Linked DNA regions of Ovis aries. The protein of the gene in region 1 interacts with the protein of each later gene in a biochemical or structural test. Links are inferred from orthologs where the notes say so. Each region holds a gene or a part of one and is shown in the gene's direction. Other genes may lie near its edges.

The links.
Region 2: of the proteins of PLK1 (region 1) and CSN1S1, one has a biochemical effect on the other in vitro, tested with the Homo sapiens proteins (2 studies listed by BioGRID). The link is inferred for Ovis aries from reciprocal best matches to the Homo sapiens genes PLK1 and CSN1S1.
Region 3: of the proteins of PLK1 (region 1) and RACGAP1, one has a biochemical effect on the other in vitro, tested with the Homo sapiens proteins (3 studies listed by BioGRID and IntAct, with this or other methods). The link is inferred for Ovis aries from reciprocal best matches to the Homo sapiens genes PLK1 and RACGAP1.
Region 4: the proteins of PLK1 (region 1) and NEDD4 form a complex in vitro, tested with the Homo sapiens proteins (2 studies listed by BioGRID, with this or other methods). The link is inferred for Ovis aries from reciprocal best matches to the Homo sapiens genes PLK1 and NEDD4.
Region 5: the proteins of PLK1 (region 1) and PIN1 form a complex in vitro, tested with the Homo sapiens proteins (3 studies listed by BioGRID, with this or other methods). The link is inferred for Ovis aries from reciprocal best matches to the Homo sapiens genes PLK1 and PIN1.
Region 6: the proteins of PLK1 (region 1) and LRRK1 form a complex in vitro, tested with the Homo sapiens proteins (2 studies listed by BioGRID, with this or other methods). The link is inferred for Ovis aries from reciprocal best matches to the Homo sapiens genes PLK1 and LRRK1.
Region 7: the proteins of PLK1 (region 1) and WEE1 form a complex in vitro, tested with the Homo sapiens proteins (2 studies listed by BioGRID, with this or other methods). The link is inferred for Ovis aries from reciprocal best matches to the Homo sapiens genes PLK1 and WEE1.

The regions. Positions count from the first base shown.
Region 1 is NC_056077.1:21,884,786-21,888,902, forward strand, and holds part of PLK1 (serine/threonine-protein kinase PLK1), read left to right. Parts: intron 1-926; coding exon 927-1,020; intron 1,021-2,271; coding exon 2,272-2,491; intron 2,492-4,117. UniProt on the Homo sapiens protein: Serine/threonine-protein kinase that performs several important functions throughout M phase of the cell cycle, including the regulation of centrosome maturation and spindle assembly, the removal of cohesins from chromosome arms, the inactivation of anaphase-promoting complex/cyclosome (APC/C) inhibitors, and the regulation of mitotic exit and cytokinesis.
Region 2 is NC_056059.1:86,188,513-86,192,629, forward strand, and holds the end of CSN1S1 (alpha-S1-casein), read left to right. Parts: intron 1-648; coding exon 649-672; intron 673-1,467; coding exon 1,468-1,622; intron 1,623-2,207; coding exon 2,208-2,208; 3' UTR 2,209-2,251; intron 2,252-3,023; 3' UTR 3,024-3,406; downstream 3,407-4,117. UniProt on the Homo sapiens protein: Important role in the capacity of milk to transport calcium phosphate. Casoxin D acts as opioid antagonist and has vasorelaxing activity mediated by bradykinin B1 receptors.
Region 3 is NC_056056.1:136,300,416-136,304,532, forward strand, and holds part of RACGAP1 (rac GTPase-activating protein 1), read left to right. Parts: intron 1-8; coding exon 9-126; intron 127-809; coding exon 810-940; intron 941-1,566; coding exon 1,567-1,731; intron 1,732-3,454; coding exon 3,455-3,550; intron 3,551-3,637; coding exon 3,638-3,836; intron 3,837-4,117.
Region 4 is NC_056060.1:52,695,903-52,699,496, forward strand, and holds part of NEDD4 (E3 ubiquitin-protein ligase NEDD4), read left to right. Parts: intron 1-2,053; coding exon 2,054-2,126; intron 2,127-2,685; coding exon 2,686-2,788; 3' UTR 2,789-3,594. UniProt on the Homo sapiens protein: E3 ubiquitin-protein ligase which accepts ubiquitin from an E2 ubiquitin-conjugating enzyme in the form of a thioester and then directly transfers the ubiquitin to targeted substrates. Specifically ubiquitinates 'Lys-63' in target proteins.
Region 5 is NC_056058.1:12,284,208-12,288,966, forward strand, and holds the start of PIN1 (peptidyl-prolyl cis-trans isomerase NIMA-interacting 1), read left to right. Parts: upstream 1-1,676; 5' UTR 1,677-1,701; coding exon 1,702-1,759; intron 1,760-4,050; coding exon 4,051-4,263; intron 4,264-4,759. UniProt on the Homo sapiens protein: Peptidyl-prolyl cis/trans isomerase (PPIase) that binds to and isomerizes specific phosphorylated Ser/Thr-Pro (pSer/Thr-Pro) motifs.
Region 6 is NC_056071.1:5,009,715-5,014,362, reverse strand, and holds the start of LRRK1 (leucine-rich repeat serine/threonine-protein kinase 1), read left to right. Parts: upstream 1-1,375; 5' UTR 1,376-1,583; intron 1,584-1,923; exon of another isoform or gene 1,924-3,113; intron 3,114-4,038; exon of another isoform or gene 4,039-4,205; intron 4,206-4,648.
Region 7 is NC_056068.1:42,787,062-42,790,058, reverse strand, and holds part of WEE1 (wee1-like protein kinase), read left to right. Parts: intron 1-278; coding exon 279-374; intron 375-461; coding exon 462-547; intron 548-1,911; coding exon 1,912-2,082; intron 2,083-2,174; coding exon 2,175-2,320; intron 2,321-2,997. UniProt on the Homo sapiens protein: Acts as a negative regulator of entry into mitosis (G2 to M transition) by protecting the nucleus from cytoplasmically activated cyclin B1-complexed CDK1 before the onset of mitosis by mediating phosphorylation of CDK1 on 'Tyr-15'.

The DNA.
Region 1 (4,117 bases):
ACCAGTCTCAGCAAGGGGCTTTCTGGACATCTCACTTGGCAGGCTTTATCCTGCAGACCTTTCCGCCTTTGGAAAGACTGTTCCAGAGGACAGATGGTCTCTGAAGGAACCCTCATTGCTGAATTGGTATATCCTGTAGGATTCCTGCAGCCTGGGCTGTGGGTTCAGGGAATGAGGGAGGGAATGTCTCCACAAACTTGCTCTAATCCCTTGCTATTCAAAGTACGGCAGACCAGCTGCAGCATCACGTAGGAACTTGTTACGCAGAATCTCAAGACCCAGACTAACTGGATCACAATCTGTATTAAGACCCTTGAGTGATTTCTATGCACAATAAAGTATTAGAACCACTGATCTAAAAAGCAGCATTGGGTGGGAAGAATTAGGCCAGGAGTGGTGCTGGCAGGAGGAGGTCCTGTGGTCTGTCTGGGTCAAGGCCATCAGAGGTGGGTGGTGGGCAGAGAGTTGGGCCTGTTCAGGTGTTACCCCTTTTGTTGTTTCCCTGGATACTGGAGAGTTAGAAATGGCTTTCCTACTTCTTTGCCTTGGAATTTCCCACATGAAAACTTGCAGCCTAAAGTACAGAACTATTAACTGTGGGGCTGCCTCAAGGAAAGTGACCCCTGCTTGGACCTGTTCCATGTTAGCTGGCAGCCTCTGGCCCCTAGATTACCGCAGGCTATAGCTAAAAAGTCACTGGTCCATTAGAACCCAGTTTCATCACCTGTATTCTACTGAGGGTACCTCCCTGCCAGTGTCGTGGCTCCTGGGGCTGCTTAGTGAACTTGTGAATTGTCCTCTGGGGCCCCAGAGTCACAGTGAATGCCCAAAAGATGTCTGACTTCCTTTCTGGCCCTGAGAGGATTCCTCCCTGCATCTGGGTTTTGGTTGGGAGCCTTGAGCCAAATCCCTCCTTGTGCTTACAGGTATACCTTGTTAGTGGGCAAGCCACCTTTTGAGACCTCTTGCCTAAAAGAGACCTACCTCCGGATCAAGAACAATGAATACAGTATTCCCAAGGTGACTAAAACCACTTTAAGTTTACATTTGTTTTATTTAATTCCCTCCCCCACCAAGTGATTTACAGAGCCCAGCCATTTCCGGGGGAAAGAGATGGGTCAGTGCCACCCCATGGGTAAGTGTAACAGCTTTAGAGGGTCCTGTCTGAAATTGCATACAGAGGCTGATGTATGTGTACAGAAACAGTTTTTCTTGGGATGAGAGTTTGCAGGCTTTCATCCGTTGGGGAGATAACCCAAAAGACGTGAAAAACAGAGAGAAAGAGCCAGAGTAGGGGCAGACGGAGAAGTGCTGCTTAGCCTGGCTGTGGACTGTCTTGGTTCAGATGGGCTCTGCCACTTTTTAGCCAGATCACAATGGACAAATGGCCTGAGTCTTCTGAGCTGCAGTTTCCCATCTGTAAAGTGGAGTCCCTGCCCCAGAGCATCTTGCACACAGCGAGCGCTCACAGAATCTCGAACCACCGTGAAGGCGAAGTGGCGTGCTTTTGCAGCCCCCAGCAAGAGTGCATTGAGAGGGATAGTTGGCAGCAGTCTGGCACACAGCTGCTTCCACAGTTTGGCATCTTTGTCTTATGTGAAGCCAAGAGCCCTGTCTCCATCAGGATGGATGGGCTGAATCCGTTACAGAGGGTCAATTATTGGGCCGAGTAGAGCGGTTCCCAGTGTGGGGGTTGCACCTGACTGCCTCGGTGTGGGTGCTGGCTCCACCACTCACTCGGGATGTATCTTAGGCACTTGACTTCTCTGTGCCTATTTCCTCATCTGCTAAAGAGGGATGGTACTAGAGAGCTTCAGTCCTTGGGTGTTTCTCTGAGGGTTAAGTGAGTTCATCTACACGAAGTGCTTACAATATTTTGCTGGTAGATAGTAAGTACAAAGTTGATGCTAGGCTTTACTGTGCATTTGACCTACCCTGGGTTGGGTCTCCTTGCCAGGGCTCCAAGCTTGGTGCTGTGTCCCCACTTTATAGATGAAGATACAAAGGCCCAGAAAGTTGGGTTGGTTGGCACAGCTGGTGCTGAGGGACAGAACTGGGACTTACACCAGGCCTTTATGACTTCCAAGCCTTTGTTTTCAAGTGCTGTTCTAGTGGTGAGCAACTTGTCAACTTAGTAAAGCTGCCAGTGGAAACTTGGGACGTTTATAGCCACTGAACATGGTGTATTTGGGGCCGGGTAGTGGGTGGTGGTGCAGCAGCTGGGTTGGTCCTGTGTCATATCCTGCTTATGACTCCCCACCTTCCCTCCAGCACATCAACCCCGTGGCCTCCTCTCTCATCAAGAAGATGCTTCAGCCAGATCCCAGTGCCCGTCCAACCATTCACGAGCTGCTCAATGACGAGTTTTTCACTTCCGGCTATATCCCTGCCCGCCTCCCCATCACCTGCCTCACCATTCCACCGAGGTTTTCAATTGCTCCCAGTAGCCTGGACCCCAGCAACCGGAAGCCTCTCACCATCCTCAATAAAGGTAAACCAGAGTGTGGGTAGACAAACAGCCTTGCCTGCCTCTGTGTGTGAATGGATGGTCCCCAAAGCTCAGGTGTGCAGTAGGATGGGCCCCAGTCTTTGAATCCATGGTCCCCATCCTTATGTGGCAAATGCCTTTCCCCATAGCCCTGTCAGGGAAGACAGACCTTACTGTGACTGAGTCAGACCTGTCATGTCCGGAGAGAAGAGAGTGGCTAAATGCCATGCCTGAATAATTCTTAATATATATTTTTTAAATCGTTGATATTGCCCTGCATGGTTCATTGGAAAAAATGTTGAGAAGCTTCAGATACACACATGGAGCACAATGTGCGTGGGACCCACATCACCGCCAGAGTCAACACTTGCTAAGATTTGTAGTGTTTGCTTCATAGCTCCTTGTTTGTTCCTTTGAAGTATTTTTGAAGTTAATTCCAGACATCTTGCCATTTTACCCCCAAGAACTTCCGTACGCATCTCTCTAAAAGGATAGACATTTTCTTACAAAACCACATCTCATTGCTTGGTTTGTCGTTGTTTCTAGGTCTCTTCAGAGAGCAGAATTAGAAAATACATAACTGGGGTGGGGATCTCTCATTATATGTGTGTGTATGTGTGTGTATTGTTTTTGTCCCAAACAACATGATAGTAAGTTGTACACATTCTGGCCTTTACTACTTAGTACTTCAGTGTATATTTCCTAAAAACAATTCTTTTACCTAACCACGACACAGGACCTAGTTATCAAGTTCAGGAAATTGAAATTGGTGCAAACTGGTCTTACAGCAGTCTTTTTCTCCACTGTGAAATTACTACTTTAATTCTCTTTTGGTAATTTGTAAGGGTCTAATTTAATATTATAGGATCTTTAATTTTATGCTTGTATTTCTTTTTCTCTTACAATGAAAACCTTGTTTGCTTACACGGTATACATGAATTTTCAACATATATAAAGTATGTTATGAAACTATGTTTATTTCCATGCAATTCTTTTTGTCCTTAGACTACATTACACACACACACACACACACACACAGAAAAACCCCAAGAAAAGCCACTTGAAATACTTTATTTCTCTGTGTGGATATAGCACAACTTTATGAGTTCATTTCAGTTTTGACACTGCTGTTTTAAGGATTACCTTTTTCTTTTTGCTTTAATTTTTGATACTTTCTTTGGTTATATGAATATTTCCTTTGATTGGTGATCACTTGGTTAAGGTGGTGCCTCCAGTGCATAGCTACTGTTTTTCCTTCGGTGATTAATTTATACCCCATGGGGAGCTTCTCTGAGAGAATACTACTCAGACTTTAGCTCACTGATGTCAGCATCCATGGTGGATACAACAGCAGTTATTGCTGTGGTATTCTAATGGTGATTTTTCCCCTTTTCTTGTTCCTTCTACATCTGTTAATCAAACTTCTTCTGTAAGGAAGAGCTGTCACTTCTCTCCCATTCATTTATTTGGTTGGTATGGACTCGTGGATATTTATTCTTAGAGCTATAAGACAATATTGTTATTTTAAAGGATTGCTTTTTTTTTTAGTTTTAGATCTTGGACATAAAGCAAAACCCAGAATTAGAGTGAACTTTTTGGGGAATACATAAATCCCATTTTTCATCATCT
Region 2 (4,117 bases), on another chromosome or scaffold:
TGACTTTTTATTAATCTATAGTACTGTCTGGGCTTCTTGAGTTTTCAGTCTTAGATCTAATCTTATGACCTTGAGCAAACTGTGTTCTTCTCTCTGAGCCCTGCTCTTTCATTTGTGAAATTAATATGAATCTATTGATTTATTTTCTTCTAAAACTCACATATCTTGAGTTTTGCAGTGTTTTTTAGTGTCTTCAGTTTTAAAGGTGGTAACTGCATTCGGTTCAGTTTCTTTGGTCCATTGATGGTTGAACTTACATATAGTATGCTAATTTAAAAAAGAAACCGTGCAAAGAAGACCATGGAGTTTTATAAATATGAATCTGATAAGGGATTAAACAAGATTCAAAACATAGTAGTCATCAATCAATTTTATGATAATCATTCCTTAATGTGAATCATATTTTGCTCTCAATTTCTTCTAAAATTCTCTCTTCACTCATGGGCCAAAGTAAGAGAAAAGAAAAGACAATTACGTACTTCATTGAGGTCTAAAGAGTACACTATCCTCACCTTTCCATGTAATTTTTTAAAAAGAGGGTAATCATTCTAATCTTAATGAGAGCATTTGGTAGTAATACTCTAGTCTCTTATGGCATTTAACTGGGTTTGAATCACAAAACTATTTTTTTCCTCTCTCTCCTTTAAGGAACTGGCCTACTTCTACCCTCAGGTGAATTTATTTGATTTTTTATATTAATACTAATAAGAGAAAATCTCAGATATCATATTTATTATAATCGTTAGGATAGGCAACCACAGCAAAACTTGAAATGCTTTCTTTGGTTTTTCTAATTCCATCAAAGAACATATATTTTCCACCTGAATATATAAAGAATTACATTAATGCACAGAAACAAATAAAAGGCCATGATAGATTAACAGAGGTACCTATTCCAAAATTTCAGAAAAGAAATAATGGTTTTGCACCAAAACCTTATAGTTACGAAGGGGCACTGGGCTAGGAATTAGAGAATTCTTTTCTCTTTATTCTTGGCATTTCTGAAATCCCTGTATTATTCTGGGACTAGGACCTTCCCTTTCTTTGAGCTCATTGCCTTCATGAAAAACTAAACTATAGAACAGAAAGGCAAAAATGACCTTCTCTAATCCAAATGTCCATGAGTTTATAAATTATATAATAATTAAATTCACACTACCACTTTCCTCTGGACTTTGATAGCTGGACCTGTGTTAGTAATGCAGGTTCTTGGAGTTCAATACTGGCTATTGATCTTAAAGAAGTGATTTATTCATTACCCCTCAGGTACCCTAAGAAAAATCCTTTCCAAAATTTCCTTACTGTGATTTACCATAGGGAAGAGTTTGGTTTCTCTGTTTTCCTCACAGAGTAAACATCTCTTGTGATGCGAATAGCCATGTCTGAAATGAATGCAATGATTCATTTTCAGAGATTCAAAACTGATTTCTCATACACTGTTGCTTTTTCAATGGTCTTTCTCTCTAGCTTTTCAGACAATTCTACCAGCTGGACGCCTATCCATCTGGTGCCTGGTATTACCTTCCACTAGGCACACAATACACTGATGCCCCCTCATTCTCTGACATCCCTAATCCCATTGGCTCTGAGAACAGTGGAAAGACTACTATGCCACTGTGGTGGTAAGTTCATTTAAATGACTGCATATTGCTGCCGTATCAAGGGAAATAGAAGAAAACATAATATAAAAATAAATTTAGAATAAGCATGACACTTAAATGCTTAGTGTCCTATGCTAGAATTTTCTGAAATGGAAAATTGATGATAACTTTCTGATATATGGCTAATGTTAATCCATTACTCAGGAACATGTGGAGCAGTGCTATCTATTTGATAAGTGATAATCATTCTGATGAAAATAGGAGGAAAATTTTCTCTCCAAAGTAAAAATTCAACTTTATCCTCCTTGCACTTTTGCTAATCTTTAAATGCCTTTCTTTGGATTATACCCATGATATACATTAGAATGCAATGTGGGGGATAAACTGCAGATTTTGACATTCCTAAAGTCCTAACTTGAAATCCTGATCTTTTTATTTTCGCTTACTTGAAATAATATAATGATGTTTGTTTTTATAACCTTGAAGGTGATTAAATATAATAATCTATTAAGCATACTGCTGGGAAAATTAGTGCTCATTTTTTGATTTAGCAAAATTTTATTACTGACTACCTTACTCACGTTTTACCAATTTTTGTTCCTTCAGAAGAGTCAAGTGAATTATGAGGAACTCCACAATTATGGTCTTTGGTAAGTTGGAAATTGCTTGTCTTGATCCTCTTTTCATATGAATACAAAGGTACAACTTGTAGACTATAAAGTTGTTTTGCTGGTCCTCTAGTCTAGCTATATTTAGACACATTACACTTAGATAATATCAATAATTAAATTGGCTTCAACATTTTTTGTATTATAATAATATCAAATTTAAGTAACAATAAAACTAGCTAATTTTAATTAATATAATTTATTATATTGAAATTTCTACACAAGTATAGGAGTGTAGGTGTTACTAATTCTGGTGACCCCAGCAGAGGAACCTTATTCTTTATGATCACTGGAATAGAAATACTTAAAAAGTCACATAGTTAAATCAAGTATTTGTCTGTTAAGAAGAAAACAGATTTAAATGTCCATAGATGTGTTTTGAGTACTTCAGTTTACTGTATAGGAGCTTGTAGTTGTGTGTGTGTGTGTATGTTCCCTTTCTAGTGGTGGAAACTTCCCTTACAACAGATCAAAAGAAGGAAAGTAAAAGTCTGACATACGTGGAAGTTTTTACTTTGAATTATTTTGCCATATTTTCTGTTACTGCAAAAGAAAGTGCAACCTAGTCATAAATTGCCTGTAAAACTTAAAAATCAGGAGCAGTGGGTATGTGTTAGTAACAGGAGACACATATAACTTTGTGAACTTCATCTTAAGATGAAGAGAAAATGACTATTAAAGTGTATCTTAACAGTAGCTTCTCCTTTCAAAACATGCAGCATAACTAACTACATATTTCTTTTTTGATTTACAGATGGGATTGAAAATTCCATGCTCTACATGTCTTTTCATCTATCATGTCAAACCATTCTATCCAAAGGCTTCAATTGCTGTTTTAGAATAGGACAATCTCAAATTGAAGGCACTCTTTCTTCTTGAGTTCTCTATTGTATTTTAGATTGTGTAACATCCTTAAGTGAAATTGTCCTAAGAGCTTGTTACCTAAATTCCAGTAGTATCATGCTGGTATAAAGGCCACTGAGTCAAAGGGAATTACAGTCTTCATTAAATTTCTATATGGAAAATGTTTTTAAAGCCTTTGAATCACCTCTCCTGTAAGTGCCATCATTTCAAATAACTGTGTGCAGTAACTGAGATTTTGTCTTTCTTCTTTTCAATAAATTACATTTTAAGGCACTATTCCTATTTTTGTCATTATTCCATTGGGAGGAATTTACACAACCTTGTGAGTTTGTATGTATATAACATTTTGTTTTCACTAAATTTTTATGACACTTTCAAAAATTCAAATGTTCACTTCTAGCTGATGCTGGTAGATTATAAACTGAGTCTAAGATCTTTCATTTGAAGTCAACTGTTTATAGAATATTTTCCATGTGAACATGGATGTGGCTGCAGAGAGAACAACAGTGTAGTAGTTGTGGGTGCATTGGGAATTTGAACAACCTGGTTATACTGTTTAATTATGCAGGACTTGTTGGAGCCCAATCCACTTGATTATACTTGAGTTTATAACTAGGTAGATTATAAAATAAACATTGTAAAAGTTAACACGGGACACACAGTAACAGAGCATTCATAGTGAGCTGTTCGGTGTCCTCCAAAACTCTAATGAGGAATTACTTCTCAAAATGACAATAGTTGCTTATTCTGATATCTTTAAAGCCCCAGGTGAAATTTACTTTCCTGGCTTTATTCTAGGATTCCCAACCAACCCAATCTGTCATGACTCTTTAAGAACCTTGTATGACCCAGGTCACAAAACGCAGGTAACAAGGTTTCATATACAACAGCTTAGACCATCTATATCAGTTGTTCTGTTTCTTACTGATTATATGTACATGTATACATAACATTGAAACATGTAATTTTTGCCTTGACAATTTT
Region 3 (4,117 bases), on another chromosome or scaffold:
TGTTTCAGGGAAATGAATCCATAGTTGCTAAAACTACAGTGACTGTTCCCAATGATGGCGGGCCCATCGAGGCTGTGTCCACTATTGAGACCGTGCCATATTGGACCCGGAGCCGAAGGAAAACAGGTCCGCTGGGTTTGTGGCTGAATTGCCTATGTAAAAACAACTGGTGAAATCCGGGGAGAACTGGTTTCTTAGAACCCTCATGAGTCAGGGGCTGGATGTTTCAGGTCGTTCACTGTACTGCTTCTTACTGGGGGACAGAGCCCTGTTTTGTCATGCCCTGCTTTGGCTTGCTAGCCTGACCTACACCGCTGGTGTGTAGCTTGTCTCTCTGGAAACTGTGTTGCATAGTTCACTTCTGGGTGTTATAGACTCCTGGTTATCTACTAGTTATATTGTGTATTTGGCTGTGTCGGATCTTTGCTGCGGCACTCAGGATCTTTGTTGTGGCGTGCACGTTTCTTTGGTTGTGGCTCACAGGCTATTTAGTTCCCCTGTAGCATGTGGGATGTTTCCCAACATGGAAGACATATTTCTTTTCCATGTCCCCTGGCACTGGAAGGGAGATTCTTAATCACTGGACTGCCAGGGAAGTCCCTACTGGTTATATTAGAATTGGGGTTAAAATTCAGACGGGAGAATTACCTGGCGGTCCAGTGGTTAGGACTTCGCACTCTGACTGCCAAGGACCCTGGGATCAGTCCCTGGTTGAGGAGCTAAGTCTCATGAACCACAGGGTGCGGCAAAAAAAATTCAGAAGGAACGAAACATCTAAGACACAAAGCTTGGAGTTGTCTGTTTTCTAGGTACTTTACAGCCTTGGAACAGTGACTCCACATTGAGCAGCAGGCAGCCAGAGCCAAAAACCGAAACAGACGGCTCCAGCACTCCGCAGAGCAATGGGGGGATGCGCCTGCACGACTTCGTCTCTAAGACGGTAAAGCTGGGGCTGCTGCTGCTTTGGGACACATCTAATTTTTTAACGGTGGGCGTAATATTTGCTAATCACAAATTTAAATATTTAGTGTTGTAAAGTTAAATGTCAAATTTCCTTCCTCCTCATCCCCCTCTCCAGGGTTAGAGAGGGTGTGTATCTTTCCATTCTGTGAGTGATAGTAAAAGAAAGCAACTTTTCAGAAGCAGTGTTTGCTTTATCATGATATGTATTTACAGTTCATGCTTGAATATGGCACGCCTTAACTTTGTCCCATTTGATTTCTGGTAAAAATCCAAGCAAACTGACAGGGGCACAGAGGCCTTAACTGACTTGTTTGAGCCACAGGACAGTAAGTAGCAGAGTTTAACATAGAGGTTTTCTGACTCCTTGCCAGCAGTTTCTTTCCACTAGTGTATGGTGATCCCTTTGCAAATTACTTAGCCTCTTTTTGCTTGTTTCCTTATCTTAAAAAAAAAAAAAAAACCCTATAGGATTATTGTGAGAATTACACAAGTAAAAAATATGTGTAAAGGGATGAGAAAGCTATTGGGCACATGCTAAGTGCTTAATAAATGTTGATTGATGATAAATGTTCTAATTCATACCATTCCCTGTTTCATCCTCAGGTTATTAAACCCGAATCTTGTGTACCATGTGGAAAGCGAATAAAATTTGGCAAGCTGTCTCTGAAGTGTCGAGACTGTCGTGTGGTCTCTCATCCAGAATGTCGGGACCGCTGTCCGCTTCCCTGTATTCCTACCCTGACAGGGACACCTGTCAAGATTGGAGAAGTATGTATATGACCTGTGGGAGCCCTCACTGTGTTATGACTTTGTTAGCTTTTAAAAAGCCTCTGTGCTCAGACGCTTCAGTCTGTCCAACCCCTTGTGACCCCATGGACCGTAGTCTGCCAGGCTCCTCTGTCTGTGGGGATTCTCTAGGGAAGAAGACTGGAGTGGGTTGCCATACCATCCTCCAGGGGATCTTCCCAGCCTAGTGATAGACCCTGTGTCGTGGTGGATTCTTTACCTCTGAGCCACCAGAGAAGCCCTTTAAAAGCTTATGGTCATTTTTTTCAAAAATTATTGACGCCATGTACATTTCCTCCCTCAAATAGTGAATAGAAATTATAAAATGTTAACTTGAAGAATCCTGTTTGGGTTTGTCTGTCTGATTAGTAGCTTTTCTAAACCAAATTCTTCTTCCTTTTCTTCCCCTCCCTTCCTCTTCCTCTTTCCCTCCCTTTCCTTATTTTCTTGCTTTTTCCTTCTCCCTTCCCTCCTTTCGCTTCCTATTCTTCTCTTCCTTCCCATCCCCATCCCATCTACTTTTGTAAAATTTCAAACATATACAAAAGTAGAGAGATGAGTGTAACTAACCCCTATCATTCTTATCATTCATATCTTATCATTCAGCTTTCATGATCCCTGACTCATGTCCAGTCTTGATTTGTTAATACCTCCATCTTCTCCTGACCCTGTTCAGTGAATTATTTTGAAGCAAATCCCAGCCATGATATAATTTCATCTTTGAATATTCTTTATCTTATGTTGGAGATATTCCATACTAGGCTGTTAAGATTAGATTCATTTCTAAAATTTGATTCAATTCATTAAGAAATTATTGTTAGAAGCAACATTAGCAAGAATCAAAACAAAATGATTGAGCTGCTACTCAGCCTCCAGCAAATCAAATATTACTTTTCTTTAATCTTTTTTTTTTCTTTTAGTGCATGATTCCCATTTAATCTTTATTTTTTTTCTGGTTGTTCTGGGTTTTTGTTGCTACTCGAGGGCTTTCTCTAGTTGACAGTGAGTGGGCCTACTCTTTGTTGTGGTACACGGGCTTCTTTCTTCGTGGAGCACAGACTTTAGGCCCGTAAGTCTCAGCAGTTGTGGCGCGTGGGCCTTGTTGCTCTGTGGCATGTGGAATCTTCCCAGACCAGGGATCAAACCCATGTCCCCTGCACTGGAGGTGGATTCTTATCCACTGTACTACTAGGGAAGTCCTTTAATCTTAAGAATTTTTATCCATGCATGTAGTTTTTTTTACAGATTTTCTGTACTATAGAGCCACGGAGTTCTCTCCTACAGATCAGTGTGTGTCATAGTCAACTGAGTTGTATTAAATAATTTTTCTTACTAAGAGTAATTACAGGATAGAACAGATTTTTTAGAGTAATAACTTAGTTTATATTACACTCCACACCTGTAATCTCATTATTGCTTTCTTTCTGATGCCCTTGACTGTAAGAGGAGCAGGGGTGGAGTTGTAGCCAGTGATCTTATTACTTGTTCATGTGAGAGTGTGGTACATGTGACCATAAATCAGTCCTGGTGTAGAGGTAGGAAGAATAATTGAGCGGCTCTAGTCTTATTTATGCTTTGGGAAGAGGAATTTTAAAGTAGGCATGGTGTCCCAGCCTCAGTATTAGTCTGGGGATGGCTCTTCCCATTGGCCTTCATCTGCTAGTCTAAGTGGTATAAATAATAACTTTAAACTCACCTTTTTCAGGGAATGCTGGCAGATTATGTGTCCCAGACTTCTCCAATGATACCGTCAATTGTTGTCCACTGTGTAAATGAGATTGAGCAAAGAGGACTGACTGAGGTAAGAGTCCATCCTTGGAGAGGGTGAGTTTGTTATTTGCATCAGTAATTAAGAGGTTTTTAACTGAAAATGTCATCTTGATAACAGACAGGCCTGTATCGGATCTCAGGCTGTGACCGGACAGTAAAAGAGCTAAAAGAGAAATTCCTCAGAGTGAAAACTGTACCCCTCCTCAGCAAAGTGGATGACATCCATGCTATCTGTAGCCTCCTGAAAGACTTCCTTCGAAACCTCAAAGAACCCCTTCTGACCTTTCGGCTAAACAAGGCCTTTATGGATGCAGCAGGTGGGGCAGATCTTAATGCTTAAATGTGAGCCCGTGGGGGCAGGAGGTTCGGTGCTTCTGTTTCCGGTTTTGTCCCTTGCCGGGTGCAGTGCCTGAAGTACAGTGCTCAGATACTTTGATGGATGCATAACTCTTCCGTGTTCCCTGTGCTCTTCTGTCTGAACTGTATAGGGTCCTAACAGGTTTTTTGGTCGTACTTTCTGTTGTGGTTTTGGTCAAGCTCTAGGTTATCCTTTTGAGCTTGGAGCCACCCTTGGTTTCTTCACCTCGCACCCTACATT
Region 4 (3,594 bases), on another chromosome or scaffold:
CAGAGTGTATTATAGTGGAATACATTTGGGGGAAAGAATGGAATAAACACAGTTAAATATTCTGTTTATTGGAATGGCATGTACTTGCTTTAAAAGATATCAAGAAAAACAACTCCTTCAGAGGAGGTATAGCCAAGATCAGAACCCTTCTATCCCTTCCTTGGCCTATGTGGATTCCTTGTTAAGCTTAACTGAACATCTGTTTGCAGAACCTGTCAGGCAGCTGCCTCTTCTCTCCCAAGGAGAAGGAGAAGACTATAGAGTTGCCACTCAACAACATGCTCATTCCCCACCTGACTGGATTTGTCTTTCCAGTGGTTTCCCCTGACTCACATTCCATTCTCTCTTCCTGCTCTTTATCCAGTCAGTAGAGAAAATCAAAGCAGGGCAAGCACCCCTCCATCTCTAGCTCCACTGTCCTCTTATATGCAGCCTAGACCTACAGTCACCCACTGATGGCATGCATTTTTTGGAATTTGGAGGAGATATTTCACACACTGGCTTCCCTGGTGGCTCAGATGGCAAAGAATCTGCCTATGATGTAGGAGATCCAGCTTTGACCTCTGGTTCAGGAAGATCCTCCAGAGAAGGGAATGGCTATCCACTCCAGTATACTTGCCTGGGAAATTCCATGGACAGAGGGACCTGGCTGGCTACAGTCCACAGGGTCGCAAAGAGTCAGATACGACTAAGCAACTAACACACTATCTCAGACACAGGTCCAGAGTTATTAGTGTTAGACTATAAATTCAAATTCTTATGGATTTACAAAAGAAGTAGAAGTTGCTTCAGAATGTTAATATTACAATACAGTATTATCCAGCCAATAAAAAATATGTTACGGGGACTTCCCTGGCAGTTCACACTTCCACAGCAGGGGTTTGACCCTTTCCACTCGGGTTTGAGCCCTATTTGTGGAACTGGCATCCCATACGAAGTGTGGCTTAGCCCCCAAAGAAAGAAGAATTATGTTACATTTATATTGGTTGACTTAATAGGGAGTTTTTCAAATGGAGTGTTCAGGTGAGAGAATCAAGAGACAGGAAAATATATGATTCCATGTTGTGGAAAATACAATGACAAAAGTACTAAACTGTAGATATAATTGTGATGGGTGATGTGTGAACAGCAGTGCTTTTTGAGAAAACAGAAGTATGGAAAATAGTATTTTTAGTACTGCTTCTGACAGTTATACTCTCACACACATATTTGGATATGAGTCTGAGACATAGAGAAAAGTAAGGAAGGTGACTCATCAGGTTGTTAGCATTAATGACCTGGGAGGTTGGAGGACGTTGAGAATTGCAAAAGAAATAATTGAATAAAACTCCAAAGGAAGAAAAAGTTTCTAAGAATATTCATAGTAAGAGAAAAATGTAGCATGTATAAATGATCCCATGCACATAAAATTCTATGCATATGCAGAAAAAGATTAATGATAGGATATTTACTTAGATTTAACAGTGAAATTTCAGGTGATCTTGACATCTTTCATTGTATAATCTTACTGCAAAAAAAGCAATAGAGAAAAATAATCAGAAAAAAATTAAAGCTGTTTTCAGTGGGACTCAAAAAAATGCCCATTTTCTTTGTACCGGGAGAGAAGGGGACGACAGAGGATGAGATGGCTGGATGGCATCACTGACTCAATGGACATGAGCCTGAGTGAACTCTGGGAGTTGATGATGCACAGGGAGGCCTGGTGTGCTTCGATTCATGGGGTCGTAAAAAGTTGGACACGACTGAGCGACTGAACTGACTGATGATAGAGGTGGTATATGAAAATGCAGGGCTGGGGAACAGCAAAAGTCCCATTAGACATGCCCCCCAGGTCAGAGTGATACCTTGACCACAGACAAACTGATAGGAGTCCTCATTCTGTGGCTGGATAGTAAAGTTATCAGCGCAAGATAGCATTATTTCTTTCGAATTTAAAGAAACTAGATGAATGATCTGTGTGTTTTAAGTTCTGCATTAGCAAAAGTGAGCTGTGAAATGTTCAGGAGCTCCTATAAAGGCTAAATGAAACCAAAGTAACTTCTCTTCCTTGTAGGCTCAAACGGACCACAGTCATTTACAGTTGAGCAGTGGGGCACACCTGAGAAGCTGCCAAGAGCTCATACCTGGTAAGCAGTTTCTTTGACCCTAGAGAACCAAGTCCTCAGAGAGAGAACGTCCTCTCTCAGTCTAGATACAGAAGGTCTAGTTCCCTCTGTGCTGTGTTGGTAGCAGATAAGGAGGTGGGGGGTGGGAGGGAGAGGATGGAGAGACAGTAAGACTAACTCAGGAACAGGTGTTTCTTTACCAGGCAGGCTTGGGCTTTAAGTCCGGGTAGCTGAACACTGGAGAGACACATCTGAACTGTTGATGATATGTTGCCTCCATTCATATGAATGATAAGCCATTCTACAAAGGGCTAGAACATTTCCTCTTGAAGGTTCAAATGACGGGAACCCAAACATTTGGAGGTCAGGGTGGAGGTGAGAGGTCACCACCAAGAAGTCATGAAGAGAATCCACACCTTGAGTCCAATCCTAGGCCTTCCTTCTCCCTGCGGAGAAAAGGTCTTTTCCTGCTGTTGGAACATTCTGTCACAAATAGCTGCACTGTGACTAGTTTGCCCTGGGAACTTGCTTTGTCACTTTGTCACTGTCCGTCATAACCAGCCTCTCTCTGTTCTTTCAGCTTTAATCGCCTGGACTTGCCACCCTATGAATCATTTGAAGAATTATGGGATAAACTTCAGATGGCCATTGAGAACACTCAGGGTTTTGATGGCGTTGATTAGATTTTAAGTAACCATTTATGGTGTTTCACTGCCACTTTTTTTTAAAGCAAAATCTTGACTTAAAATTTTCCAGGGAACTACTAATCCTTGGCCATTGATGCTTCTCAGATATTGGAGAAAATCGTGTCAACGAATTAGAAGAGCTAGTATGACAACTCTTCCATTATTTCATTCATTTTAGTAATGTGTTGCATTTACATAGTTGTTTCATTCTATTTTGAGTTCACACCCAAGGATTTAAGTCCTGTGTGCCTGAAAACGTGAGATTTATCCTTGGATTTACCTCTTTTACAGTATTTGCCAGGCAGTTCTTTCTTAAACTACTGAAATGATAACTGTGAATACCTGTGATAAGTGACATGTGTGAAAAGTGTGATTTTTTTGAGAAGGAGAACTGAAATTTGGGGTAAAAAACTTCAATACTGAGTACACGACAATATACTCAATGCTGCCTGCAGCTAGTATTTTTTAGACCTGCCTACCACATGGGCAGTAGCAGGTTTTTAGAAGAATCTTGCAAAGTGTGTTACCTATATTTTCAGTCAACTGATTCACTTACAAAAAGCTGTCTGCTTCTTCATTTTAAAAGTATTTGGCTTTTGTTAGTATGCGGTTTTACTAAACAAGGTAGTTCATAGGACATGTGAAGCAAATTCAGATTTGCGAAGGTTGAAAGGTATCAGTGCCTCCCTCTTGCCTGTATATCCTATGGCTCATTGATAGAGCCATTACTCTTTACTGTTTTCATTTAGTTAAAAGAATTCCTTTTTCAAACTAAAGCTTGACAAAGCAGTATTCCTAAATAT
Region 5 (4,759 bases), on another chromosome or scaffold:
TTGCAATCCCATGGACTGCAGCACACCAGGGTTCCCTGTCCTTCACCATCTCCTGGAGTTTGTTTAAACTCATGTCCATGGAGCCAGTGATGCCATCCCACCATCTCATCTTCTGTCACCTTCTTCTTCTGCCCTCAATCTTTCCCACCATCAGGGTCTTTCCCAATGAGTTGGCTCTTCACATCAGGTGGTCAAAGTGATGGCATCAGGTGGAACTTCACTTCAGCATCAGTCCTTCCAGTGAATATTCAGGACTGATTTCCTTTAGGATGGACTGGTTGGATCTCCTTGCAATCCAAGGGACTCTTGAGTCTTCCCCAGAACCACAATTCAAAAGCATCAGTTCTTTGGCGCTCAGCCTTCCTTATTGTCCAACTCTCAACGTCCATACATGACTACTGGAGAAACTGTAGCTTTGACTATACAGACCTTTGTCGGCTTAGTGATGTCTCTGCTTTTTAATACCCTGTCTAGGTTTGTCATAGCTTTCCTTTCAAGGAGCAAGTGTCTTAATTTCATCACTGCACTCACCATCCACAGTGATTTTGGAGCCCTGGAAAATAAAATCTGTCACCGTTTCCACTTTCCCCTTATCTATTTGCCATGAAGTGATGGGGCCAGATGCCATGATCTTAGTTTTTTTAATGTTGCATTTTAAACTAGCTTTTTCACTCTCCTCCTCCTATAGATGAACTTTAGTTGAACTCTTCCCTGTTGGTGTCCCGATTCCCACGTAAATCTACAGCCCTAGGTCTCCAACCACCTCTTCAATGTCCGTTTAGTGCCACAGCCTTCATTTTAAATTGACTTATTCAACTGATATTTCAATAAAAAATAAATTTTAAAAGCAACTTGATTCAAACTGAGCTATTATCCTCCCACCCGCGCTTCCACCCACTGATTTCCACCCACAAAGCCACCGTGTCCTCATCCGAATGGCAATGCCAACACCCACGAGTCACCCAGGACAGAGGCAGAAGCCAAACTGGGAGGGAATTAGTAAAGTAAAGTAGATTTCAAAGGAAATGGAAGGTGTTTGGGTCAGTAAAATAGGGAGTTTTGCACAAAAAATTAAAAGGAGGTGGGCTAGCTTTGGACATCTTGGGCAAACAAGTGGGACGAGGGAGAACGGAGGAGCCAAATATAGGCTTCTGGATTCTTAGCTGTTCATCACCAAGGTAACTGCGTTGCTATGGCAACAGCAAAGGCAGCACCGCCTTTTTCAAGAACTTCCTTCGCTGCGGTTACCTCCACACAGGCCAGACACTTCCGCCTGGGAGGCTTCAGCCCGCGGGCTATGGTTTAGGAAGGCGGGAATTGCTACAGTAGTAGCCAATCGGATGGGCTCTGTGGCGAAGGACGCAAAGGAGGGGTCGGAACTTTTGGAAGCTCAGCAGAGGGCGTTGATAAGGCGAGTTCGCGTCCCTTTCCCACCATTTAGCGGCCGAGGAAAGGAAGAGGGCGGGACCTGGGTGAGGCCGACCGGGGCGGGGCCCAGATTAATGGTGGGAGGCTCCGCCCACCCCCGCCTTTGCTCAATAGGAAGCCAGAGAGTCAGTCCGGACAGTTAGGGTGCCCAATGAGTGCTGTCGCCAAGACCCCGTGCGGGGCGGGCTCAGCCAATCGGCAGCAGCGATGGGCGGACGCGGGCGGCAGAGGCGGTGCGGCGGAGGCGGAGCGGCCTCTGCGGCAGGAGGGAAGATGGCGGACGAGGAGAAGCTGCCGCCCGGCTGGGAGAAGCGTATGAGCCGCAGCTCAGGTGCCGCGGGGGTCGGGGCTGGGACGGGGCCGCGAGGGCCCGCAGAAGCAGGGCTCGAGCTTGTCCCTCGAGCGCGGCAGCGCCGCTCGGTTCCCGTGGGGTCCTGGCTCCTCCGCGTCGTCCCCGGGTAACGGCCCCGGCCCACCCTGTTGGGGCTGCGAGCCTGAGGAGAGGGGAATCCCGAGGAAACTGAGGCAAGGGGCGTGGCCGGGGAGTTCCAGGGTGCTCCCGGGGTGGCAGGGGGATGGTGATCCCGCGGCACTCCCTCAGGCGATGGCCCTGGCCCTGCCGATCTGACTGACATTTTCGTTCGGCCTAATGCACCAGAAGTCCTGAGGGAACGTCTGTGCAACCCGCTGGTCCCAGGGTGGGGACCCCTTGGGGAGGACACCCCAACATCATGCTCAGGGCGGGGCCCTATAGGGTGTTGTTCGGCCTCGGATATACAACCTCCTTCTGCTAATACGCTCGCTACCATCCACACCATATTCTGAGTTTGCGATATCCGGCCGGTGGTATTCTGCCTGAGAACTGCCCTTGTGCTCCGGAACCCGACTTAAGACTTTTCCCCAATAATAATGTCAAGAATAGGGAACGTTTATCTCAGGACCAAGCATAGTTCCAAGCATTTTGGGTGTTTGCTTTCTCTAAATGGTCATAATTTTGGGAGAGAGGTAATTGTTACCCCCGTTTTGCAGATCGGGAAACTTGAGGCCAGAAAACGCAAGGAACCCGCCCAAGGTCATTGATTTCAGGGGGTGGGGGTTGGGTTCGGACCCAGTCATTCTGACTCCAGAGCCCCCTACCCTTCTTGCTGCAAACTACCAAGATGCAGGTTCCAGTATTTCACACTTCTTTCTCCATAGAGCCTAGCAGTCATTGTCGCAGTAATAATTTGATTTTTTGAACATCAGGAGCACTTTGCATACAGCACCATCCACTCTCCACATTAACCCTCTGGAGGTTTGATGTCCTTATTCTCTCATCCCCACTTTTCAAATGAGAAAACTGAGGTTCAGGGAGATGGAACCCATTGCCAGTGTTTTTGAGGCAGTCAGTGGCTCAGCTCTCACCAACCCCCACCCCACCCTGCAGCCTTGACCCATGGATGTGACCTACAATGTAAAGCCAATGCTCTGCCAAATTTGGGGCTCCCACTCCAGCCATTTCAACCCAGTTCAATCCTGACAGTGTTCCCTGAGGGTGACATCCAGCCCTTCACGGTGTTTGGACAAGTCCTCCGTGTAACCCCGGGCAGACTCTGCTCCAGGAATGACACCCTATCTCTACTGGGTCCTACTTCAAGCTTCTTGTTGGCAGCCCTCACTCCATGCTCTTTAGTCTGGATAACATCTGACCCCAGTAATGCTGGACCCCAGTTCTGTAACTGGGTAGGGGAAAAGGACAAAGCTTTTGTGTGTGACACACATGGGTACAGTTTATGCAGCAGAATAAACACCCATTGCTTTGTTTTGGAGGCACTAGTAGCTGACCAGATGCCTCACAGTAACATGTGCATGCTCAAGTCGTGTCCTACTCTTTGTGACCCCATGGACTATCCCACCAGGCTCCTCTGTCCATGGGATTTCCCAGGCAAGAATACTGGAGTGAGTTGCCATTTCCTCTTCCAGAGTATCATCAAACCCAAGATTTTTTTGCTTCCTGCATTAGCAGGCAGATTCTTTACCTCTGTGCCACCTGGGAAGCCCACGGTTTGACCAGAGATGTATTAGTATGTTTTTTGTTACCCAAATGTTACTGACTGGAGTGTCTCAACATTCATTTATAATCGCCAGCCACAGGCGTTAGTTTTTGCAAAAATCCCCCAGTCGATAATGTGTTAATATATGTCAAGTGCTGTCCTAAACTCGTTACAGATGTGAACTCATACAGTCCTTCCAAAAACCATTCAGGCAAGTACTGTTGTTATTTCCATTTTACAAGTGAGAAAACTGAGGCCCGGAGAAGGGAGTCATACAGGGAGTGAGTGGCAGATTTGAACAGGGAGTCTGGCTGCTGAGTGCATGCTTTGAACCTCTCTTCCTCATCTTGGATTATTTTCCCCCCTTGAAGTTGTTAATGACCAAAGTTATTATGTGGTCGTACTTGCTTGTTTATTGTCTGTCTGCCTCCCACCTAGAGGGTTAGCTCCCTAAGTCCTGGTGACACTGGTGGACAGCAGTGGGCTGGCTGAATGAAGGCATCTTGTTGGCCAGTTCCATATCATGGCTTGATGGTGGTATGCACTGAGCAGGTCCCAGCTGAATTCTGTACCCCACCCCCCCTTCTAGGCCGGGTGTACTACTTCAATCACATCACTAATGCCAGCCAGTGGGAGCGGCCAAGTGGCAACAGCAGTGGCAGCGGCAAAAATGGACAAGGGGAGCCCACCAGGGTCCGCTGCTCACACCTGCTGGTCAAGCACAGCCAGTCACGGCGACCCTCGTCCTGGCGGCAGGAGAAGATCACCCGAACCAAGGAGGAGGCCCTGGAGCTGATCAATGGTGAGCTGGGGTTGGAGACCAGGCCTGGGGGAAGGGGGCAGTCCCTCTCCCCAAGGGCAGTGCAAGCTTTACAGAAATCACATGAGATGCTCCACCCCAGCCAGCTTAGCTGTCAGCTGTGGCCTTGGCCGACCTATAAGTGCCTGTTGGTGGCATGAGCCTGGCTTCCATGGCTGCCTCTCATTTTCCTCCCCAGCTGGTGTGTGAGAGTGGGCCAAGGTTGGTGGAGAGGACCCAGCCTTATGGCAGCCAGACCTGGGTTCACATGGTCACTATGCCCCTAGGAGCTCCTTGACCCTGAGAGATTCACGTCACTTCCTTGAGACTCGGTTTTCACCTCTGTCAAATGGACGTCGTCATCTCCTTGCCTTCATGGGCCATTGTGAAAGCTCAGTGAGATGAAATGGTGTAATGGGTGGCACACAGTTGTCACTGTGTGGGTCGTCATTCAGTGGGAGCTATCCTGGAGAGTAGTGTCATCAAGCAGGGTCCTGGG
Region 6 (4,648 bases), on another chromosome or scaffold:
ACTGAGTTGTACACTGACACTGAGGTTAGATGAAGAATATTTCTGTACTTGGTTAGGTCCACCGTGTTCAACCATGCCTTGGATAAGATCCATCTTAATTTATGCACTTGTGTATGTTTGAATGCATTTAGAAACCTTCCATTTCCCAACCAAAATGTGAGCAACACATTCAAGGAAAACAGCAATTCCTTTGTTTGTCATTACCACAAGAGGAACCATTTTGAGGACATACACTGTGGCTATGGTGTGTGTGTGTGCATGTGTGTGTGCAGTGCCTTTTGGGGTGGGGACAGTAAGTTGGGACATTCTCTAAAAGTGGACCCTTTGAAACACCCAAGCTTCTCCCAATGGCAGGCTGAGCCCTTTTGACGTTCTTGCTCCTATCATGTCTTGATAATAAGGGACATTTTTTAAGTGTCCCAGGAGAAATATCAGTGGAAACTGAATACCCAGCTGAAGGAAGGTGACTAGAAACTGAGGGCCTATTATACAGAGTAAAGTAAGTCAGAAAGAGAAAAACAAATATCATATATTAATGCGTATATATGAAATCTAGAAGGATGGTGGGAAGGATGCTGGGAAAGGTTGAAGGCAGGAGGAGAAGGGGACAAAGAGGATGAGATGGTTGGATGGCATCACCAACTCGATGGGCATGAGTTTGAGCAGACTCTGGAAGATGGTGAAGGGCAGGAAAGCTTGCCGTGCTGCAGTCCATGGGCTCACAAAGAATCAGACACGACTGAGAGACTGAAGGACAACAAAAAGTATGGTGCTGATGAAGCTGTTTGTAGGGCAGCAATGGAGACGCATAGAGAACAGACTTGTGGACACAGCTGGGAAAGGAGAGAATTGGGAGAGTAGCATTGAAACATATACTTTACATATGCAAAATGAATAGCCAGTGGGAATTGGCAGGGAGCTCAGGCCCTTTGGTCTGTGACAACCTAGAGGGGTGGGAATGGGTGGGAGGGTGGAGGGAGGTTCAAGAGGGAGGGGATGTGTGTATACAGCTGATTCATGCTGATGCGTGGCAGAACCCAACTGAATGTTGTAAAGCAATTATCCTTCAATTAAAGGAAAAAAACTACTACACCTTCAGAAGGCAGAAAGGGTAGCTCAGGGAGGTAGCTTCCAATGGACCCCACCGTGAAAGTGAAAGTCGCTTGGTCCTGACCGACTCTTTGCCTCCAGGCCAGAATACTGGGGTGGTAGCTGCTCCCTTCTCCAGGGGATCTTCCCAACCCAGCAATGGAACCCAGGTCTCCCGCATTGCAAGCGGATTCTTTACCGTCTGAGTCACCAGGGAAACCCCTCCCTGCCTCCATTACCTACTTAGGAGAAAACTTAGAAAGCGAAAGCGAAAGTGACTCAGTCGTGTCCCAGTCTTTTTCTCCAGGCCAGATCACTGGAGTGGGTAGCCGGTCCCCTCTCCAGGGGATCTTCCCCATCCAGGGATAGAACTCAGGAATCCTGCGCTGCAGGTGGATTCTTTACCAGCATTCCAACATGAGACGTTGGTCAGCGGGGGTTAAGAAGCATAAAGAAATCTTAACTGACCTGTAACAATCGCCTCACGCAAACCTGTAAGTAACGCATGCCAAGGGTAAGGTTAAATGCTGGGATACAGCCAGCTCGAAACAGGCCACCCATGTGACAAGTTATTTCTACCTTGGACACATTTCTAAGCGGATGGCAAGCTCATTTAAAAAGGGCTTGTCCTCACCTCCGTGGGCCGCGTCTGCCCCCTGGTCCGCCGGTCACCCGGCGCGCACTTCCTCGCGGTCCCGCTAGATGGCAGGACCGGGCTCCTAGGGGTGGGGGTGGGCGCCGCGCCGCGATCGCCAGGCTCACTCGGCACCGTGGACGCCACGCCCTGCAAATTATTAGGGACTTTTCGTTAGCGACCAAACTGCCGCCTTTTGCATATTGGAATTAGAACCGCGGTGGTGAAGGCAGGGTTGCAGAACTGCACCCTCCCTTTTGGAGGGGCGTGTGGCCCGGGAGAGCCGACGGGGCAGCCTCTTGGGCGCAAACCTCAGCTGCCCCGTGGTCCCCTCTTCGAACAGGGACCCAAGGAACTCGTCCATGGTGACCGCTCAAAGTGTCTGCGAGGTCGTGGAGGCGGGAGCTGGCTGCTGCTGGCCGGCTTTTGTGAAACGGCAGTGAGGATGCTGGCGATTTGTCTCTGAGCCTTGGGATAAACCCTGGGAATGTTCCAGTCATAGCCGAACACGGGAGGAACCTGGGGTGCGCAGATCCTGCCAGGGTGCAGGACCATCCGCTTTTTCCGAAGAAGTCTTCTCTTTCCCTGGCGGGCACGTGGAGCCCAATCTAAAGCCTGCCCGCCCGCATGGACGTACATCATTATGATCTGTCTTTGGACAATGGCCTTAATTGTGGGTACATCTTTTTATTAGGTTGAAATAGAAATTGCCTACACTCCAGCAGGTTTATCTACCACCGCCACCCCCAAAATAGACCCAGACAATTTAAAATGATTCACCAGTGATATCTTTGTGTGTATCCGTAATTTAGTAAATCCATGTGGTGGAAGGGTTGAGGTTTGCAAACTATTAAAGTTTTACATTTCATACGTCTAGTCTGCTGTAGAAAAAGTTGTACACAAACGAATATTCCTGTCTTTTGAGTATTTACTGCCTCCATAGACGAGTCCGGAGTTCACCAGCGGATTTCGCTGCTGAGCGGAACAGAGGGGCAGGGAAAGCTGGGCTGCGCCGAAAACCGACCAATCTCGCCGCTGAGACTGCCCTGCCGGAGGGCAGGGGACCCAGACCCGGAGGAGACCGGCGCTGGGGGCGCCTGCGGACCCCGTGGCCTCCGGGGTCTCGGTGAGGGAAGCCGGCGGGCGAGCGCAGGGGCTTCCCGCGCGCGCTCTGCGGAGGCCTCTCGGAGGCCGCCCCTCGCCCCGCGCGCCGCCCGCCCCGCTCAGGATTGAGGAAGTGAGTCTGGCCCGGCCCGGCCCCCGGCGCACGGCCGGAGCCTCCTCGGAGGAGGGCAGAGGGGCGGCCCGGCCCCGAGCGCCGCCGTCCGCCCGGCCCCGCGCAGCCCGCGCCCCAGGCGCCCGCTGCCCTGCCCGCCGCCGCCGCCCGCAGGTAAGCGCTGCCCCGCCGCAGCCGGCGCGGAGTCCCAGCCCCGCCGCCCAGGCCCCGCGCGGGAAGCGTCTCCCCCGCCCTCCGCGGCGCACTGCCCTGCGTCTCCCGCCGCGCCCTCGGGCTGGAGGGTTCGGGGGGGGCGCAGGCCGGCGCCCGGGCCGGGGGAGCGGGCGAAAGCCACAAAAGGAAGAGGCGCCGAGGCGTCCGCACGGTTCCTCCGCCCTTAGAGAAGCCCCCGCCTTCGAGCGGGCGCGCGTGTGCGCCGGGTGTGTGAGTGCGGGGCGGCGCGGGGGCGCGGCCCGGGACGGCCTGGCGGCGCCGGGCGCCCGGGCGCCGTCTCCCCCACCCCGAGTCCGGGACGGAACCCGCCTTCTCCTGGCGGCCTCTGCGGGCGACCTTCCGCGTGGGATGAGTGTGATCGCGGCCGGGGAAGGCCGGGGACCCCAGGGGGGACGGTGGTGACCGAGGCTCTGGGATCTCTGCGGTCCGCTCACCCTGCCCGTCCACCTTGTGAGGCCGGCGAGTTTTTCTCCCATAAGCATCGGAGATGTAAGGAAATAGGAGCGTGCAGTTACGTTTTCAGCGAGCTTTTCACCAAATGCATTGTCTTTAGAGTTTGCCACTCACTCCCATTGTATCCAGATTCCCTGGGCGTTACAGGGGCAGATGGCAACCCACTCCAGTATTCTTGCCTGGAGAATCCCATGGACGGGGGAGCATGGTAGGCTACAGCCCGCGGGGTCGCAAAGAGTCAGACACGACTGATCGACTTCACTTAAAGGGGCAACTAGAATACGCACGATTTTGAAAAATGCTAACATTCAACTTCTTTTGTGGTCTGATTTAATTATCCTTGTGAATGTCCTAAAAGAATAAAAAATTCAGTTGAAAACATACAAACCTCACACTCAGTTTGTCCCTACAGGTTTGTGGGCCTGCCAAACCTCTCCCTCAGGCTTCCACACCTCAGGGAGCGGCCCTAGTACTCAGATCAAAGCCTGAGACATAAAAACCTGGGAGCTGTCTTCCCTCCCGTGTTCTCATCCCTTGAGTTCAGTTATTGGCAAGGACTGTTGAGTCGTCCTCTCAAAGGTAATGTTCAGGTCCAGCCCCTTCTCCCTCGCCAGCGTCTCTTCCCTACAATTGTAGCTCTCCCCTCCCCCATTCTCTGTTTGGGAGCCGGAGTATAGCTGGAGTGATTTATTGTTTAAAAAGGAAAATTAGAGAGTGTCAGTCCTCTACTCGGAATCCTCAATAGTTTCCTCTTGTGCTTGGCATGAAATCCCAAAGACCTCCTTCCCCTCTCATCCCCCAGTTGATCTGGCCTCTGCCATCTGAGACCCCCTGGCTCACCCCAGTCACCCTCTGCAAACCCAGCCTCATTCTCTCATCCGTCTGTGTGCTTCTTTTTAGTTACCACTGTCTGTGTTCCTACTTTATCTGTTTAATTACTCCTTTAATTCCTCCTGGAGGTCTCTTCTGCTGCTCCAGTTGTCAGAGACCCTACCGGCCTTGCTTATTGCTTCGCCTTTACT
Region 7 (2,997 bases), on another chromosome or scaffold:
AATTGCCCTTTGTATTATTTCTAAGTAATTAGAACTGCTGAAGATCAATGTGCAGCTGACAAGAGTCTAATGCAGTGGTTTTCAAGTGTTAAAGGACCAGTGCTAGACCAGAAAATATATTTCTAGAAAATACAGTCCCTTTTCATTCTCACTGGGTTTGGGATAGAACACATAGTCTATATATTTAAGCGCTTTCTGAATGATTCATTATATGACTTGTTTGTGAACTTTGATTCTATTAATTGTCAGTATGGCTTACCTAAATAACTGTTTAACAGGTAATATTTTCATATCTCGAACTTCAATCCCAAATGCTGCCTCTGAAGAAGGAGATGAAGATGACTGGGCATCCAACAAAGTTATGTTTAAAATAGGTAAGAAAGAAAAGTAACCAAATTATTTCCTTAAAATAGAGGCTGTTTTGTTTTAATTCTTAACTGTATTTTTTTCAATACTTCTAGGTGACCTTGGGCATGTAACAAGGATCTCTAGTCCACAAGTTGAAGAGGGTGATAGCCGTTTTCTTGCAAATGAAGTTTTACAGGAGGTAGTTTTTCTTCTTTAAGCCATTTGCTTTGTAACACTTATCAGCTGCTAGAAAACTATAAATGCAGATGTACTGAAATTTTAAGCTAATAACCAGTAGAAAGGTAATACAGAATAGAAAGTGTAAACTATTAGCTTGTTGGGGTATTTAATCTAGCAAAAGTCAATAAAGGCAAAGATTTATCATATTCAACAGTGCTGGGGTTGCAATAAAAAAGAAGTTTGCACGCATTACTGGTGAAACTTTAAAATGACAGTGTCTTTTCGGAGATCAAAGTGTTAACATCTGTCAACATTTTAAAGTCACATTTCCTTTGACCCAGAATTTCCATTTCTAGGAGTCTCTCTTAAAGACATATTCATATACAAATAAGTTGAGAATGATGTTAATATTTAGCAATAAAGGAATGATTAAATAAAGTATGGCATACAGTTAATAATGTGAAAGTGTGTGTTAGTCACTTCGTTGTGTCCATCTCTTTGCGATCCCATAGACTGTAGCCCGCCAGGCTCCTCTGTCCATAGAATTCTCCAGGCGAGAATACTGGAGTGGGTTGCCATTTCCTTCTCCAGGGGACAACTTCCTGACCCAGTGATCGAACCCAGGTCTCCTGGATTGTAGGCAGATTCTTTACCATCTGAGCCAACTGGGAAGCCCCATAGTTAATGATACTATTTCAAAAACTGTTATAAAATATTTCTTGATAAGCATTTTGAATGGAAATAGAGTAACTAGAACAAAGGAATTGTATGACACTATTCTGTTTATGTATATTTGTGTCGTATATGTATGTGGATATTTCTAACTTGTTGATCTTTGTAGTTTCATATGAATGCCCCTAGAGGTAACGTTTCTTCTGAGAGTTGAGTGAGGCTGGTGATAAAGAGGAGGCCTTTTAGAAATAACCTGAATACTTTCAGAAATGTATTTACCATCCCACCCCAAAGTGTATTGTTGTTTAGTCGCTAAGTTGTGTCCTACTCTTTGCAACCCCATGGTCTGTGGCTCGCCAGGCTCCTCTGTCCATGGGATTTCCCAGGCAGGAATATTGCAGTGGGTTACCATTTCCTTCTCTGGGGGATCATCCCAGCCCAGGGGTTAAACCTGTGTCTCCTGCATTGTCAGGTGGATTCTGTACCACTGAGTTACCAGGAAAGCCCCAGAGTGTACATAACTTTGTCATTAAAAAAAATTATAATCTTCCCAAATTTAGCTTGTTCTCTGAATATGTCCTAAATTTAAATGTATCACTGGACATTGTAATTTCATCTTATTTCTCACCCAAATAATCATTGAGGTGTAATCTTACTTAATTTTGACCATCTTTATATTCCCTTAACTTTTTGTTTCCTTTAATTTTACAGAACTATACTCACCTACCAAAAGCAGATATTTTTGCCCTTGCCCTCACGGTGGTATGTGCTGCTGGTGCTGAGCCTCTTCCCAGAAATGGAGACCAATGGCATGAAATTAGACAGGGTAGATTACCTCGGATTCCACAAGTGCTTTCCCAAGAATTTACAGAGTTGCTAAAAGTGAGCATTTTATATGTGAAGCACTGTATTGACATAGTTCAATATTTTATTAAATTGCATATCTTTGTGTTAATTTTACTTCTCTTTTTAAGGTTATGATTCATCCAGATCCAGAGAGAAGACCTTCAGCAATGGCACTGGTGAAGCATTCAGTATTGCTGTCTGCTTCGAGGAAGAGTGCAGAACAATTACGAATAGAATTGAATGCTGAAAAGTTCAAAAATTCACTTTTGCAGAAGTAAGTGATGGGGTTTTTGTTTTGTTTTTACTTTCTCATTTTTATTCTCAGATTTTAATTAGAAATGATGTATACTTTACATCAGTGAAGAATAAAGTGGCTTGGCATGTTATATGGTTAAAGTTTGGGGACTTCTGTCTTGATATTTGACCTATAAATTGGCATTGTTTCTAAACTTTGAAATTATGGACTTAAAAGATTTTTAAACCTGCATATATTTGAAAGCAGTGATAATTTTTATGCCCAAATTGTCCCAAAAGCTAAACTGAACAGGTATCAGTTTTTTCTCTCCAAACTTTTGTCATAAATGACATTCTCCTCGAAATGTTCTGTTTACTTTTATGAAAGGATGAAATTAATGTCAATTAGGTTAGATGATTTTCACATTTGATCTGAATGACCTTTGACATTTTTGGAAAACTGGTTGGAGTGTTTATCTAATTCATTTGCTTTATTCCTACCATTTTTATACTAACCTAATAAAACTGACTTGAAATACTTGAAGGTTCTTTTGCCATTAGTTTGATAGCCAGCATAGTTCATATAAAGAGGAAATAGAATTCTCCTTTTGTCTCTTATGTAAATAGATTTTCACAATATTATCTTTTTTTCTCCTTAATTGTATCTTGGAGTAATGATGGCACACAAAAATGATAATGTAGTTTGTATTTGGCCTC